3 linked regions of the Arabidopsis thaliana genome follow. The main gene of each other region encodes a partner of the protein of the gene in region 3 in a complex. Each region holds a gene or a part of one and is shown on either strand. Other genes may lie near its edges.

Region 1 (5,028 bases), on a different chromosome or scaffold from region 3:
TAGTGAAACAAATCACAATATATCAAAACTAATCTCCAGAATAAATTTTCATAATATCTTCTTTGATCATTTGGATCTTCTAGATCCCCAGAAAAGATAGAATGGCTTAAGCTTCGAACTCTCGGACCTTCTTGTTCTACCCAACTATACATTAGACAAGTATTAGGCCGTAAATAGGCCCATTTAGGGATACGCGAAGGCCCAAAAAGTCTTTGACATCATCATGTGGTTTCTTATTCTTGTTTTCCAGTAATGCTGGTTAAGTGAGGATGTCATTATTGATTAAGCCCCACGCAGCTTCTATCAATTACTACTACCTTACTCTTAATCCTACTCAAGTAACTTCACACGTTATCTCTTCCTACCGACTGTTTTCTCGGCCTGATGTTCGTTTAGTAGTCAGTTTGTTCGAATGCAGAAATCTTAATCCGCTTTTAGTACCCTTAAATCGTGGTCTTGTTGTAATGACAATTTCGGTTTTAGAATAGAATTTGTTCGCTTTTAACAAAAGAAATGCTGTTCAAACATAAATGTGAAAAACAACATCCTGATGAATTTCATGTGATGAAGAACAGAAAGAAAAGAGGGCCTAGAATCATTGTTGCTTCAATCGTTGGAGAACATTTGTATGCTTGTGTCAATTTTTTGCACATGGTTCCGTAACAGGCACATGATTACTGTGACATCACGTGTGTATCTGGAATTTGGTTTTTAATACCACTAAATCAAGATAGTCAAACGCAAAAACATAATGATCGATTTATGTTAATGTCATTTAATAACCCAAAGATCTTTGTCTGAAGCAGATACTACACTAGAGATATAGGGAACAATGGGCATTGCCTCATAAACCGGGTCAAACCGATAGTCAATTTCCGCAGCCAAAAAACAAAAGAATAGACCAACTTCACGATGTAATCATGGGCTCTGGATCTGATGAGTCGTCAGCAGACTTCTTGGACTGACGAGCGGAATTGAACAAGATGTCTTTGATAACCTGCACATTGATGGATGAAAGACTTTTTAAGTCAATTTCATGGATCCATTAACCGCAAGGGGAAATAGGATCAGCATTGTCAGATTGTATTTACTCACCTGTGACATTAGTCCATGGACCTGCTCGACAGTTATCTTTGCACTATCCCGAGTTATCTTCGCGAGTTGAGGCTCATCCTGAAAGTGGTCCACAACACATATACTTAGGTAATGTAATCTCCAAAACAAATGTTTTTATGTAAAGAAGATTAAAACAATATCAAAATGAGTCACACAGCCAGAGATAACAGAACTCTAGGAAGCAGACATAGACTATTGGCAACAACTCGTTGACAAATTGATACATCAAAGTCTCCCTGTTTTACTAGTTCAAACTTTAATAGCTCTGTATATTTTTGACTAAACATACACTCAATTGTGAAATTTCAAACCCAGAAAAGGTAAAACATAGTGTTTTGCAGGTAGAGTTTCTATTAGTCAATATCCAGTCAACATAATGCCTAAGAATAAAAAGTTCAAATTTAATCCAAGTTGCTAGATGTTGATAGTAGCAGTTAATTAGCCAAATGAAAAGTTTCTACACAGGAACAAGCTTGAAAAGTGGCAAGTGTATGAGCTCAAGATCATGGTCCAGTATCTCAGACAGTCAATAAACATTGAGAACATAACAAATAATTTTGCTAAAGCAACCATTTAGACAAACCTCTTTCCTCCTTTGGTGACCGGCTGGCGCAATTCCTCCATACCGGGAGTTAGCGAGCTGACTCTCCGCTTGCTCGAGCTTCTCAGCTTCATCATGTAAACAATTAAATGGTAAGAAAAGAGGATATATCAAACTACGACCTGGATGAAAAGTAAATTAACTTGCTCTTTCATATATACAAGAATTTACCCAAGTCTGATATTTGCCCGGCAACATAGTCTCCATTGCCCAACAGTGGGGAAGAAGAAAGAGTGTTCACCCAGTACTTGTTCCAAAGGAGATCCAGAAGGTGACTATCGAGAGATGACTTGAAATAAGTGATGTCCAATGAGTAGTACTGCCACATACAAAAAAAATGAATCATAAGATCGATGATTAAAACCCTCCCAAGTTTTAAAATCGATAAATAAGAATTATACATACCTGTTTGCAATGTACACCAAAGTCCTCAATCTTGTTAAGAGGGATAGTCTGATACTCAGAAACATGATCATCCGAGATCTTATGTCCCTCTGGATATGTTCTGAATGCCCCAATCTCAACCTTACCAGCCGAAACAGTCCTTGTTGGATCAATAACAACAGCTAAGAATGGCTCCTGATACTGTTGGTTAAGCATCTGTGTCGAAACATCAATACCCGAGAGCCAACATCCATACCCAGGGTGAGAGTGATACCATCCAACAACGTTCTCCAACCTCCCAGCCTATAGTTCAAAGTTACAGTCATAACCAATCAATCAAACACTCGCAAAATCTTGCATAAAGGATCCAAGTAGCAACTAGCTAATTAAACAAGGAGCTACAGCGAGAGATGAATAAGAGATATCTTACCAGCTTGCTGGTCTGAGAGTATTCAACCATATACTCATAGGCATCAGACTGAGCATTAACCCTAGTCTCAGTACCTTCAACAGGCAAAGCAAAAGCATCCATAACGATGATTGTATCACCCTCGGTTTTACCCTGCATAAGACCCATGATCTCGATTGTGCCACCGGAGCGAGCGTGAACCACCATCTTGAGAAGAGCAAGGGCTGAGATGTGAACGCGCTTGAAGTAGTTAGGATCGGAGGCCCATGGCTTCTCCTGCTGGATTTTGGCTTGTGAAGCGTCGTCGTAGTGGAATATACTGTCGGAGGCTGAATCGGTTGGTTCCACTGGGAGAATGTTGTTCTCTAGCTCCCATGTCTTCCTCGCGATGGCTGACGAGGAACCTTCCATTGAAATCGACTTCGAAGAGTAGAATAAATCTAGGGTTTTGCTTAATCGCGAGAATTGATTTGAGGGTTTGAGTCAGAAAGAAAGAAGAAGGCAAACAAATAGAGAGAGATCTTTGGGTTCTTGGGTTAAACCGGTTTGCGAGAACAAAACTCAAAATGGATTTACTTAATATGGGATTTGGGGACTAATGCTAATCCAAAACATTAACCATATAAAATTTTTATGGAAATTTAATATTGTACATTTTTTATTAAATATTTTTCCCTTTTTATTTTTAGTTTGTTTAACTTTTATAGAAATCAATGTTGGCAAATCAAAGGATAAATTCCAGTCATTGTATCAACCAATTGGTATAGAAATCAATGTTGGCAACACATAGATTTGGCATACAATATCTTAAATCACAAAGCGTAAAAGAAGAGTAATGCATCTCATGCATATTTCTTGAGATATCCACACATGCATAATTTCACCAATGTAGTAAGCTTATTTTGATAGCATGTTCAACTTATATATTGTGTGAATTATGCTTGACTTTATGGCATAGACGTTGATCTTTAGCTATAAAGTCAAGCTTTTGTCTTCTCATTCTATCATCGATCAAAGCATCTAAATCACTTTCCTCTCTTTTCTTCTCTTGTTTGTGTCAGAACTCAGAGAGTATAACATAAGGTTAGCTTTCGATCAGTTTTTTATTTTGAGTGTTGCGAATCAAAAGAAAAATTAGTTTTAGCATTAGACCTAAATATTTGTACAAGGACACAGTGTAATATTTGTAAAGCAATTAACATAGAACAAATAATGAAACACAACAATACTATAAAGATGTTTTGAGTTAAGGAGAGAGATCATCAAAGTGCTTGCTTAAATTTCTACCGTGTTGTTGTGTTTCATTACTTGCTTAAATGCTTAATGATAACTGCTTTAAAAATATTAGATTGTCTTCATGTACCAACATTCAGGTCCTACATCCAAAATATTATACAAGACAAAGAATTCACTACAATATAAATACGCTAAAATTTAAGAGCAGCCTCAATTATATGCATATACTAAGATTATGGCCGCCCCTGCTATGCTGATACAAAATAAATGCCAAATTACATCATATATCAAAATATTTTGGCAAAATAAAACATAATTGCCTTTAGTTGGATTTTGAAAAAAAAAATGGAAGATCTTCTGAGTTTGTGAGAAAGAAGAGCAATAAAGAAGAAGTTAATGCATCTGTTTGACTGTTACAATTACTTATAAAAAAAAAAGTGGAAGAAAGTTTAGAGGAGAGGATACATTTTGAGATCATGGGGAAGGAGTGGTTGCTAACAAAGTGGTAATAGAATTAGATTACGTGAAAGTATAAAAGTAAAATTTGAAAGTTTTGTGACATGTGGTAAATGTTGCTGTTTTTGAAAGTGTTGTCCCATTTGAAAGTTTTGTCACATTCGGTAAAATTTGAAAGTTTTGTTACATGCAGTTTTGAAAGTTTTGTCACATTCGGTAAAATTTGAAAGTTTTGTTACATGCAGTTTTTGTTAAAATGACGGTTAATTTAGAGGGGGGTGGGAGGGGGAGGGTAAGTAGTTATATGATTTTGATGATTTTGTAGAAGTGTATTCAATCTAGTATTTTAAGTGATTTGTGTAAAATTTATCAATCATGGATTTTAAAAACTCTATTAAAATCAAGTGTTATTGAACTAACGATTTTAAAATTTACTTTTAAATCAACTGTTATTGAAAACAAATCTCATGATTGTAGATGGAATTTGAAAAGATTGTACAATTAATCACATCAACTTTCTTAAAATTATAGAAATCTTTTCAAATTCTATCTAAAACCATGAGATTTGAATTTGTGTATTTGTAACTAAAGAAGTTTTCTCAAATCTTTCAAGATGAATAAGAATCAACTCCACAAACTGTTTTCAATAACAATTGATTTTAAAGTTAATTTTTAAATTATTAGTTTAATAACATTGGATTTCATTAAAGTTTTTAAAATCTATAATTAAATAACATAAAGTTTGTAAATTTTACACAAATAATTTAAACTACTAGATTAAATACACATCCTTTAGTATATATAGATTTGAGAAAGTGGATAACAT
Region 2 (4,543 bases), 5.5 Mb from region 3:
ACTAACAATCAGTCTCCTTTTAGCCGTCCCTTTAGCTTTCAGCCACATTTGGGTCCTCCTTCTGGTTTCTCCTTCGGTTTAGGACAAACCGGTTTGGTTAATCTTTCAATGCCTGGTTTAGCGTATGGTCAAGGGAAAATGCCGGGTTTGCCTCACCCGTATATGACACAACCGGTTGGGATGAGTGAAGCAATGATGCAGAGAGGGATGGAACCAAAGGTTGAACCGGTTTCAGATTCAGGACAATCGGTATATAACCAGATCATGAGTAGATTACCTCAGATTTGAAATTTACTCTTCTTCTTCTTCTTCTGCATTTGGTCACTCCTTATAATAACTTTTAATTTCTGCTTCTTCTTCTTCTTTCATTTATTGGTTTCAAACTTTGGGGAAGGTAAAGGCTGTTTTATTGTTCATTCCTTGGTTTTGTCTTCTTTTTTACTGGTTCTTTATCTTATATTGAAATCAACAAAGAAGAAAAAAGTGAGTGTTGTGTAGCAATACTGCAATTGCTAACTGGAGACTGATGTGGATGTAACTAGAGAGACTGATAGAATCAAACCTTAAAATCTTTTTACTAACAATAGAAACTTGTTCAAGATCAAACAAGAGCTTTGATAGATAAGCAGATGTTCTTATAGATATAGAAACAATGAAGAGGATAAAGTCTTGCCGTCTGAGTTATAGATTCTCACAGAGGCAATGTTAAAAATGGTTTCAGGAACCAAGAGAAGATCTTTAGAACTAGAATCGCTGGAAAGGATCTTTTACATGAATGCAGTTCTTCCACCTCTTCGAGTGTTTCTGTCATATGCGGTGTTGAATTTGTCGACCATCTCGTTCATGTTGCTGCAGATTGAGCAAACAAAATTATTAACTGATATAACAGAATCCACCAGCCCGGTGAAAACCGTATCTTTCACAGTTCCTAAAGAACCACTAGTTAAAGAGCATTCGCTAGCCTATATACTTGCTTTCAAATACTTTAGAATGTTGCATTAGGTACAAACCTGGAACAATTTGTAATCATCGCTAGGTAAGTTATTAGTAATTTGTCGTTGTACTCCTGCAAAAAGAAAAAATGCCAGCATAAGTTGCGAAATATCTCAGACAATAAGCTACACTGAAAAGAATCAAGTGCAGATCTAACTAACTCACCATCAAGAAATTATCTTGAAATCTCTCTGATTCCATGGCAGGCAATCTTCTTAGCAGGCTAGATACTTGTCTCAGAACTGAGTTGTCACAAGATTTATCACCTACACACATAAATGAGTTGGCAGATAAATTATTACACTTACACAACTTTGACTATCTTCAGCTAGAATCCTGGACTGGTAAACATGAAACCACGGTGATAAGAATCGGAACTTGGGAAAGAACAGAATATACCTTTCTGCATTGCAGCAAGATTTTGGTAAAGCACTCTGATTCTGCTATTAAGCATCTTGATGGCACTATGTATACCAGTAAGATGAGCAGCCACTGCATATGAACGAATAATCAGCCAAAAACAGTAAGACTCAGGAAGTGGAGTATGATATGTATTAGTGACATAAGGCTCACACTGGGTTGCTGCTGAGCCTCCGTCAGATGGTTTAAGATGTGCAACATGATCAACTGATATCCGTTCAGCTTCAACTGTCTACATTGTATAACACCTCAAAATCTTAGTCAATGTACACTTTCATAACATAGATTAAATTGCAGAATGTTTGACAAAAAAAAAAAAAATTATTTGCAGAATCAAACTTAAGCACAGACCTCGATTGTGTAGCTTGTATGAGCGAAAATTAGCTGCGGGATTCCATCAATGACATGCAATTCTTCAAGTAATGAAGATCAATCAATGAAACAAAGAGAAAAGTTAGGATCTTGTAAAACAATCTGACCTAAATCTGGAAGTCAATAAAGATAAAGACTTGGGAAGATATCTAGAAACTCTGAACTACGCATATACCTATACTAACATGCTAACATATCAGAATGTACCCACAGAACCATATGACATTATAAGAAGCATACCACTTTCATAAATAGTCACTGGAAGATCCTTCTGTGTGTGATTGATAGCAGGGTTTAAAAGCACATAAACAGGAGATTCATTGATATCCATCAACTGTCACCAAGAGCAGACACAAAAACCACACTTTTAGAGACCAAATCTCAATTATACAAAAATACTAGAGAGAGCATTGGACTCACAGCTTTATGGATATGCATATCAGATTCCTCAGCATCACTTCCCGTAGAGTACCATCCCAGAATATAGAAATCAGGGAACACCTTCTTATCTAATAAACAATAAAACCAGATAAAAGTTCAAACTTTAATTTACGATTGCATCAATAGTTGAGAATAAAAAGAGTGAGCTTTAGCTTACAGAGCTCTTGCTTCTTCTCGAGGAAAGATCTATCAAGGGTTTGAGTAGAAGGATCATATAAAAGCTCGAAACTGTTGAATATCTCAACAGTACGACCTCTCTGGACACCGATCACACATCCGTAAACCCTAGGGTTTTGCTGGAACATTGCTTCGCCGTTGTTTGAGCCATGGCCGCTTGCGCAGATTGAAGCAGGAGGATTGAGCTGAGTTTTGACCCTAGTGTAGTGATCCGATATGTTGACGATTACCAAAGGATGTAGCTTGAAGGTTAAACCGCTTGATGACGAAGGTGCCATTGTCGATCTCTCTCTCCTTTGATGAATTCTTTGGTTTTTGGGTTTTTAGTTTTTTTATGAAGATTTTTTTTATTTAAATCAATGTGGATTCGGATCCTAGATCGGGTCTTCCGGGTCAACTATATGGATATTAGTTTTTTCTGTATGGGCCGAGCGTAGGACTTATATATGCGGTTGGGCCTCATGACTTGTTTTTCCAATTACATTTTTTCATTTTGGAAACTAATTATATTAATTAACAAACGAAAATAAGATAAACCAAACGATTGAGACTCATAAAATCAGATATCTGAAGTTGACAAAAAATGTACTAGAAATTTGAAAACAGACAACATTCATCAAATTTTTCAATATGAAAGTTCAATAGTTCAGTGGTTAGACTAAAGGTTATAATTTTTTCCACAAAATGTTTGATTTCTAGTGTGTAAATTCTTGCAAGTTAATGAAAGGAAAAAAAAATCTAGAGATGCCTAGCATATTGTAACTATTGTTGATGTAGATGAATTTTTTTTTTTTTTTTAGTTATTGATGAAATTAGTGAAGTCATGTTGGTCGTCCAAATGTGTGATATGAGTACAAGAGTAGAATCTACCTTCGTTTGTAACGCATTGCACAATCAATCAAGAAATATAACTAAACCCAGCAAAAATCAAGCAATATAATTTATTTATCTTTGGTATGATCAAGCAAATATAATTCAACACTAATAGGAAACTACAAAATTCAAAAGTGGCAGCAAATCGGACAAAAAGATAAAACATATCTTGATAAAGAAAGATAAAAAAAAACTATATTCACAACAATTCATTTTTAATTACGGATACTGTAAAAAACGGTTTTTTCACAAAAATAAATAACTAAACAAAAATGTGTTGGTGAGCCTAAAAATGTGTGTGGTGTGGATAATATATAAATATTAATTACCAAAATACTATCAAAAAATTTAATAATTTCTTACGAAGCTGTGACCAAACACAACAAACAAAAAAAACACCGCCACGAGACGAGCCAAACTAAAGATTAGGATTTGGGAGGTTGATGATCAATTCCGGACAACGGAGGAAACCATACTGATAGATTCAACGACGGTGATTGCGGCGGAGGAGTAGAAACCCGTTGGAAACATGGCGATGAGAGACCTTGTTAACGGCGGAGCCGCTTGTGCCGTTCCTGGTTCGTCTTCTTCTTCTAATCCTCTCGGAGCTCTCACCAACGCTTTACTTGGTTCGTCTTCCAAAACCCAGGTTAGCTTCCTGATTCCTTTTTGATCGAAACAGTGTTGACATTTGAAGTCTCCTGATTCCATTCTTCGCCTTTTCCTTGGTTCTCCTGGAACTAAGAAGTCGAATTAGATCTCATTTTTCGTTGGGTTTTGTTATTTGCTTGCCAAGTTTCGATTTTTCTTTCCGTAGTGTTAGGGTTTTAGACGTTCTTCGATTATGTCAAGTGATTTGGCTGACAATTGTTTAAAGGTTTAAAATTTCCTGAGAATTTGAAGAAATGTTGATGATTGGTGATTTGTTGTGCAGGAAAGGCTCAAGGAGATACCTAATGCAAACCGGTCAGGTCCTCGGCCACAATTTTACTCTGAAGACCAACAGATAAGGTCACTTCCTGGTTCTGAGTTAGATCAGCCACTTCTGCAACCGGGTGCTCAGGTTAATGTTGTGGAAAGTTTTGGTTTTACAATGGTAGTATTGACTCTGATTATCTAGCCTCTGTGATGGCTGATGGGTTTGCAATTTTTACATTAGGGGTCAGAGTTCTTCCGTGGTTTTCGCTCTGTTGATCAGAATGGTTTGGGTGCAGCTTGGGATGAGGTACAGCAAGGTGGACCTATGCCTCCAATGGGACCTATGTTT
Region 3 (5,912 bases):
TCATTTCTTAAATTCGCATAAGTTTTGATCGTTCAAGAATAAAAATTAAACAACGAATGGGAAAATGTTATATGTAACTACTAGTTTCATCTGAGAAATCATGAGGGGAAAATGTTGTGGCTGGGACTTCGTGCAATCCCGAGAGTTCAGACAGTGTTGGAAGTGGAACTTGAAGCTATGAGATGGGCAGCTCTTTCAATGTCAAGATTTAACTATAAGAAAGTCATCTTTGAATCAGATTCCCAACATCTAGTGTCTCTGTTAGGGGATGATACTGATTATCCAAATTTGGCCCCAAGAATTCAGGACATTAGACATATATTCCAACAATTTGAGGAGGTGAAGGTGATGCATATAAAGCGTGAAGGAAACAGTGTGGCAGATAGAATTGCTAGGGAATCTCTTTCTTTATTGAATTATGATCCTAAAATGTATTCTAAAGGTGCCGGCTTGGATAAAAGATTGTGTGTATTCAGACTCTGTGTAATCACCGTTTGGTAAATGAGAAGTTGTTGTTGAGCCAAAAAAAAAAAAAAAACTACTAGTTTCATCATTCTCTTGCACAAGAAAGGTTCATCTATGCATAAAATAATTTGTTCTGAGGTAAAAATGTACCCTGAACCTCTTTTCAACTTTCTTAAAAATCCTCATTCAATGCCTAATCTTTTCCTCTCTGAATCAATTAACCTAAAGACATAGACATGAATTTGCAAGAAAGTAAATAAGGTGAAAATGACTGTCCCCAAAACACAGCAATTTGGCAAAAACTTTGGCATGAGACTCGATCCGTTGCTCGGCTAATACAAATTAATCATCATGAGGCGATCTCACGGCTTGGGAGTCAATCAGACAGGAACAGACATGCCTTTCTTGGCCATCCCATCCAGAATGTCATTGAGAGCTTGGCATAATCCCGATATCTGCACAGATTCCACTTTTCAGTCATATTCCACGCCAATAAAACAAACAATCATATATAGTTGCTCTAAAGAGACAAAGAGTGGGAGGGAGAGATAGAAAACCTGTTGATCCCATTGTTGTAGTTCCTCCACGTCATCCTCAAAATGAATCACAGCCTCCTCCTGAACAGTAACATAAAATATTAAAACACGTCTAGGAACCTCCTTCTAGAAAATCAACACTAACGAGAATTCTCTTCAGGGCTCTTACATAGCTCAACCAACAAAGTATTTTTTATTGCTTACCTGATCTATGGAACCCCTCATTCGGTCTTGCCCAATCATATTAGCTGCTATCTTCTCCGCTTTTCTTGGATCAATCGCCAACAGAGTTCCCAATTCATCAAACCTAGGATATAAAATAGTTGAGAAAATCAAACAAGTCTAGACACACAAAGAAGATACTAATTCGACATCTCATACCTTATGTTTGTGTAGAGTTTGCTTGCACTAAGAAGGTTATGCTCAATCATAGCACGGTCAAGAACAGTGGATTTGTCAGGCAAAGATGCTTTCTGTTGAAATCAACAGTGTAATAACTTGTTATGAACCTACTTACCAACTCAGATGTTATCCAAAAACTACATCTAAATCTTAATTCACAGTCCATACCTGATGTGGCCTTAGTTCTTCTGAAAAGGCATCAATCTCTGGTCTCCTTAAAATCCTTTCCAGATACACCTATAAAGTTGCATTAAAAAACAAAAAGTTACCATGCATTTCTAACCAAGCCTCTATAAGCTATGGTGAACTTGTTTGATTTGATAATGAATCAAATCTAATAAACATCATGCCGGCTTAAACAAGAGTAATATGTGAGTTCAAACAATACTATATGTCCAATAGCATGAAAATGTATGTTTGTCTACTAGAGGAAACAGTTGTAGGTAATAAGAGATAGAACCTTCTGCAGGATAGGATAAATCTTCAGCTTGGAGCAACGCTCATCCTGTTAATAGAAAGATATTGAGAAATAAAAAACAATAAATAAGCAAGCAGGAAAGTATTCTATTTGTAATCCAAAAGGGAATTACTTTGTATAAAGTTGCAAGAACACGAGAACGCTGAGGACCAGCTCCAGCTAATATGGTACATGTGACAGCAGCTGATAGGGCCTGCTCTAAAGCATTCTCATCAATCTCTCTGAAAAGATTAGAAAACACATTATAACCGTTTCAGAATATGAGATATCACAAAGGTATTGGAGAGAGAAAAGAGGAACACTATTCAATCACAGAGAGGGGAAAAGTAGGAAACTAGCTTTAAATACAGAGTCTCCAAAGATGGATAGAAGATTAATTAATCATTATTCCATCCGAACAAGAAACCAACAGAGGAGAATTTGAAGAAAAGATGTAGCAGAAAGATAAGTCAGTTCACTTACTCATCCCCTATTTGGCGTTGCTCAATCTGAGATATGCCGTAATACCGAAGTGCAGCCTCTAAAAACTTTCTTTTCATGTCCAAAATTCTAGCATAGCAGACCTGAAACAGAAATATATTAAAACTTGAAAACGAATGCTCCTTAATCACCCAGCACATAAATTCTTAGTTTACTTTAAGGTGGTCCAACCTTGTACTGCAAATTCAAAACTTCATTCTGACTATTGCTCACTAAGAAAGAAGCTTTATTTATAAAAGCCTCTGCATTTACAGCATCATCATCCTGAAAATTTCAAAACACAAAAGTATTAGAGAACAATAAAAATTTAACTAAATGTATTTATACAACTCTGCTAGCCTCAATTTACTCTCACAAGCAATAAATAAAAAAGTGATGTAGTGAAGCAGAATAATGCTCTTAACAGTCGATATTCCTAATTTCATGACACTTAGATTTGGTCAAGAGACTTAACTTTAAATAAAATCTCTCTAGAAAAATGTCCAAATATTTGAAGATTGAATCAACATTCAACAACGGGTTTCTTTTGTGCTTTTAAGATCTAACTTCTGTAACTGATTGACACGCACCCACAGAAGGAAACAAGACAAACTAGCTATAAATCATTACTGCGATGCGTAAATTCATCTCATAAACAGAGATAACCGATTTACATGCTTAAAAATTAATGAAAAGGACACAGAATCTATTGTGCATATGTACATGAAAGGGAAAGACAAACCTCGAGATACAAACGAGCAATTTGGATACACTTTGAAAGCTTGAAGTTGTCGTCAACGGCCCTAATAAAGAATTCCGCAAATCCAAAATAAGCAACACAAAAGAACATAGAGAGGAAACTAAAACAAAATTCTGCTCAATGCCACACACCTCATTCCAGAATCCAGATCAATTCCACTCAACATCTGTGCTGCTTTTGACCATTCCTGCTCTGATTCATACAAACCCGCAAGTTTTTCTCTGATAACAAGTGCCTGCAAATACACCACAAACAGTTTCATCTCTTAGAATAAAGAGATTGAAAAACAACACAACGTACATTGTCTCAGTTATCCCAAAATACAGCATCCTTAGTAAACAAATATCTCAAATTAGCTTTCAGTGTAGATTTCACATACCAAAGCGGTACAATAGCAAAGCGACTCTACATACCTCTCAACTTATGTTAAGTAGGTAAACTAATTAGGGTTTAAAAAGTACACGATTGCTGCTAAACAGTAAGGTATCACGAAGAGAAAACAAACCTGTTCCTCAAAGGAAACAACTCTAGGCTGAATCTGGGTAAGAGTAAATTGAGCAATCTCCTTCTGCGTCTCCGGTTCTAATCTCCCAAGCTCTTGTGCGAAAGACTGCAAAAGCTGCCTCGAAACCACCAACGGGACATCATCGGAAAGAACTGGAAAAATTGTGAGGAAGCAAAAATCAAAATCAAACCAGAAATTCTGATATAAACCGAATTCCATAAGAACAAAAAGCAGTTGTCGAATCTCTTATGAAGTTGAAACCATGAGAAAGAAGGGAGATGCGAAATTACTGTGATCGATGAATCTCTGAGCTTGGAGAAGATCGTTGGAAGAGAGAACAGAGGAGAGGATGAGTTTGTACTGTTCGATTTTCTGGCGTTGGTCACCGATTGCAGAAGCGTTCGTCAAAGCTTCATCCATGGCTTCTCTTCTGAGATTTTCTCTCCCGCTTCGATTGAAACCCTAAGAAACCTTACAAGGTTTTGATTTCTCTCTCGCTTTTTTTTTTTTTTTTTTTGGAGTTTGCTCTCTTTTTATATTAAAAAAATAAACGGGGACTAGATTCTGTGCCGGTGATCGGAGAGGCGCTTTACAAAATTTACTTAATATGGTCACAACTCATATGAGATTAGTACCCAAAATAAATTAAAATATATATATATATATATTAAGCATAAATACTATATTTTTTTTTGTTAGTTCATAAATTTTATAATTAATTTGTGATGGTAAGTTTACCAAATTGATTGTAGATTAAAAAAAAAAATCAACAAATAATATATTGTTTAGAAATATTTTTATATGTGAGCCTAAATTACTACAGTAAATCTTTTACACAAATAAAAAAACACGTCGTGATTTGGAAAACACGATGATGAGGTATTTTATGATGACAATACCACGTTTAATATTATGATACCAGATCGGAAAAAGATGATATGTTATGTGTTTTAGAGCTTAGGGAGCAATTTAAGATGGAAACGTAAATAATTATTTGTTGAGAAAGAATCGACTAGAAGCAATCGAAAAATTGATCGAATGGTCAAGATATGACCGAGAAGTCATCGGAAAAGTTGTGAGCCCAAATCTTGAGAGCAATGACATGCAAAATGTTTTGAAAGTGCTCTCATGAATTAAAAGTGAAAAAAGAACCACTCTCTCGTTACATAGAGGGTAGTATATAAAGAAATTTACCTATCTCAGACTAGGAAACCAAGTCTCGCATTGGAATACGACTTTGGTTTAAACATGTGAGCTGACTGACAAATCGATTTTATGTGCTTTACAACTTAGATATAACTGAACATATTGGTATTGGATGAGGTTGGACGATAGACTCATAGACACAATCGTTGTCTCGAAAAATCACGAGTTTCTCTCGCTTAAAGGATTTTTTTTGATGAAGTTTATGGTGATCCCGTTCGAGAACATCACAATTGTTTTTGAATCAACTTTACAGATCCATATTGTAACTAATGATTATAGACTACATAGTTTACCAAAATTACATTTACTCAAAAGAACAGATGCGGTTGTTGATGGCAAAACTTTTTTGGAATGGTAGACATCCCATTGAAAGAAAACAAATTGCCATGGTATGGAATTCATGATAATGATTTAACTCGTTATAGTCTGGACAAATTGTCATGGTAGGGTTTCATTGCTCTTTCTTTGGGTAGTTACCTCAAGATATCTCTTTGTTCTTCCTTGTGATAGTTCCACCTTGATATGTACAACCCCACATTAATCTGCTCATTTCAACATTAATTTTCTCTATTGTTTTTAAATTGTGTGTATAAGATTATTTCACTAACTAGGAAAACAATCCATTTCTTTGACACATGGGCTTTACTTAAACAAAAGCCCAATAACTTGTGTTTAGAAGTCACATGATCAAATCTCAAGACCTATTATAAATTAACAAATTTCATATTGATAAATTTTAAAAGATTTCCTATTACAATATTTAAAGTTGCTACAAATTATAGATTCTTTTGATCTTTTCTGATATTGTTTCTCAAATAAAATATAGGAATACCAAATTACAATATGAAAGTTGCTTCAAATTATAGATTCTTTTCTGATTTTGTTTCTCAAATAAAATATAGGACTGAACTACCAAAGGCAATAATATTCAATGTGACCAACAAAAAAAAAATAAAAAATAAAAAGAAATACTCAAATCTCATAACCTTTTTGACTAAATATATCAATTTCTTCTATTTTCAATGAGCATAAATTACACGCGTCCTCAGAAGCTGAATCCGATTTGCAATTCTTCAATCTCAACCGTTAGATCAACAAATC

What was found.
Region 1: COP8 (region 3) and CSN5A share a complex: the UniProt entries of both Arabidopsis thaliana proteins name them as parts of the CSN complex.
Region 2: COP8 (region 3) and CSN6A share a complex: the UniProt entries of both Arabidopsis thaliana proteins name them as parts of the CSN complex.

Annotation. Positions count from the first base shown.
Region 1 is NC_003070.9:8,108,975-8,114,002, forward strand, and holds CSN5A (COP9 signalosome 5A), read right to left. Parts: upstream 3,088-5,028; 5' UTR 2,922-3,087; coding exon 2,532-2,921; intron 2,405-2,531; coding exon 2,123-2,404; intron 2,037-2,122; coding exon 1,889-2,036; intron 1,786-1,888; coding exon 1,700-1,785; intron 1,174-1,699; coding exon 1,096-1,173; coding exon of another isoform or gene 1,024-1,095; exon of another isoform or gene 998-1,023; coding exon 908-997; 3' UTR 600-907; downstream 1-599. UniProt on the Arabidopsis thaliana protein: Probable protease subunit of the COP9 signalosome complex (CSN), a complex involved in various cellular and developmental processes such as photomorphogenesis and auxin and jasmonate responses.
Region 2 is NC_003076.8:22,782,850-22,787,392, forward strand, and holds CSN6A (COP9 signalosome subunit 6A), read right to left. Parts: upstream 2,757-4,543; 5' UTR 2,682-2,756; coding exon 2,384-2,681; intron 2,295-2,383; coding exon 2,206-2,294; intron 2,120-2,205; coding exon 2,026-2,119; intron 1,827-2,025; coding exon 1,765-1,826; intron 1,646-1,764; coding exon 1,567-1,645; intron 1,486-1,566; coding exon 1,393-1,485; intron 1,260-1,392; coding exon 1,159-1,259; intron 1,067-1,158; coding exon 1,011-1,066; intron 850-1,010; coding exon 768-849; 3' UTR 535-767; downstream 1-534. Other genes in the region: WRKY2 (WRKY DNA-binding protein 2), read left to right, coding at 1-288; PEX5 (peroxin 5), read left to right, coding at 3,806-3,925, 4,211-4,339, 4,436-4,543. UniProt on the Arabidopsis thaliana protein: Component of the COP9 signalosome complex (CSN), a complex involved in various cellular and developmental processes such as photomorphogenesis and auxin and jasmonate responses.
Region 3 is NC_003076.8:17,236,625-17,242,536, forward strand, and holds COP8 (Proteasome component (PCI) domain protein), read right to left. Parts: upstream 4,193-5,912; 5' UTR 4,026-4,192; coding exon 3,896-4,025; intron 3,758-3,895; coding exon 3,606-3,757; intron 3,336-3,605; coding exon 3,232-3,335; intron 3,144-3,231; coding exon 3,083-3,143; intron 2,626-3,082; coding exon 2,533-2,625; intron 2,445-2,532; coding exon 2,344-2,444; intron 2,103-2,343; coding exon 1,994-2,102; intron 1,909-1,993; coding exon 1,864-1,908; intron 1,641-1,863; coding exon 1,572-1,640; intron 1,475-1,571; coding exon 1,383-1,474; intron 1,309-1,382; coding exon 1,206-1,308; intron 1,083-1,205; coding exon 1,023-1,082; intron 921-1,022; coding exon 846-920; 3' UTR 529-845; downstream 1-528. Other genes in the region: AT5G42965 (Polynucleotidyl transferase, ribonuclease H-like superfamily protein), read left to right, coding at 112-501. UniProt on the Arabidopsis thaliana protein: Component of the COP9 signalosome complex (CSN), a complex involved in various cellular and developmental processes such as photomorphogenesis and auxin and jasmonate responses.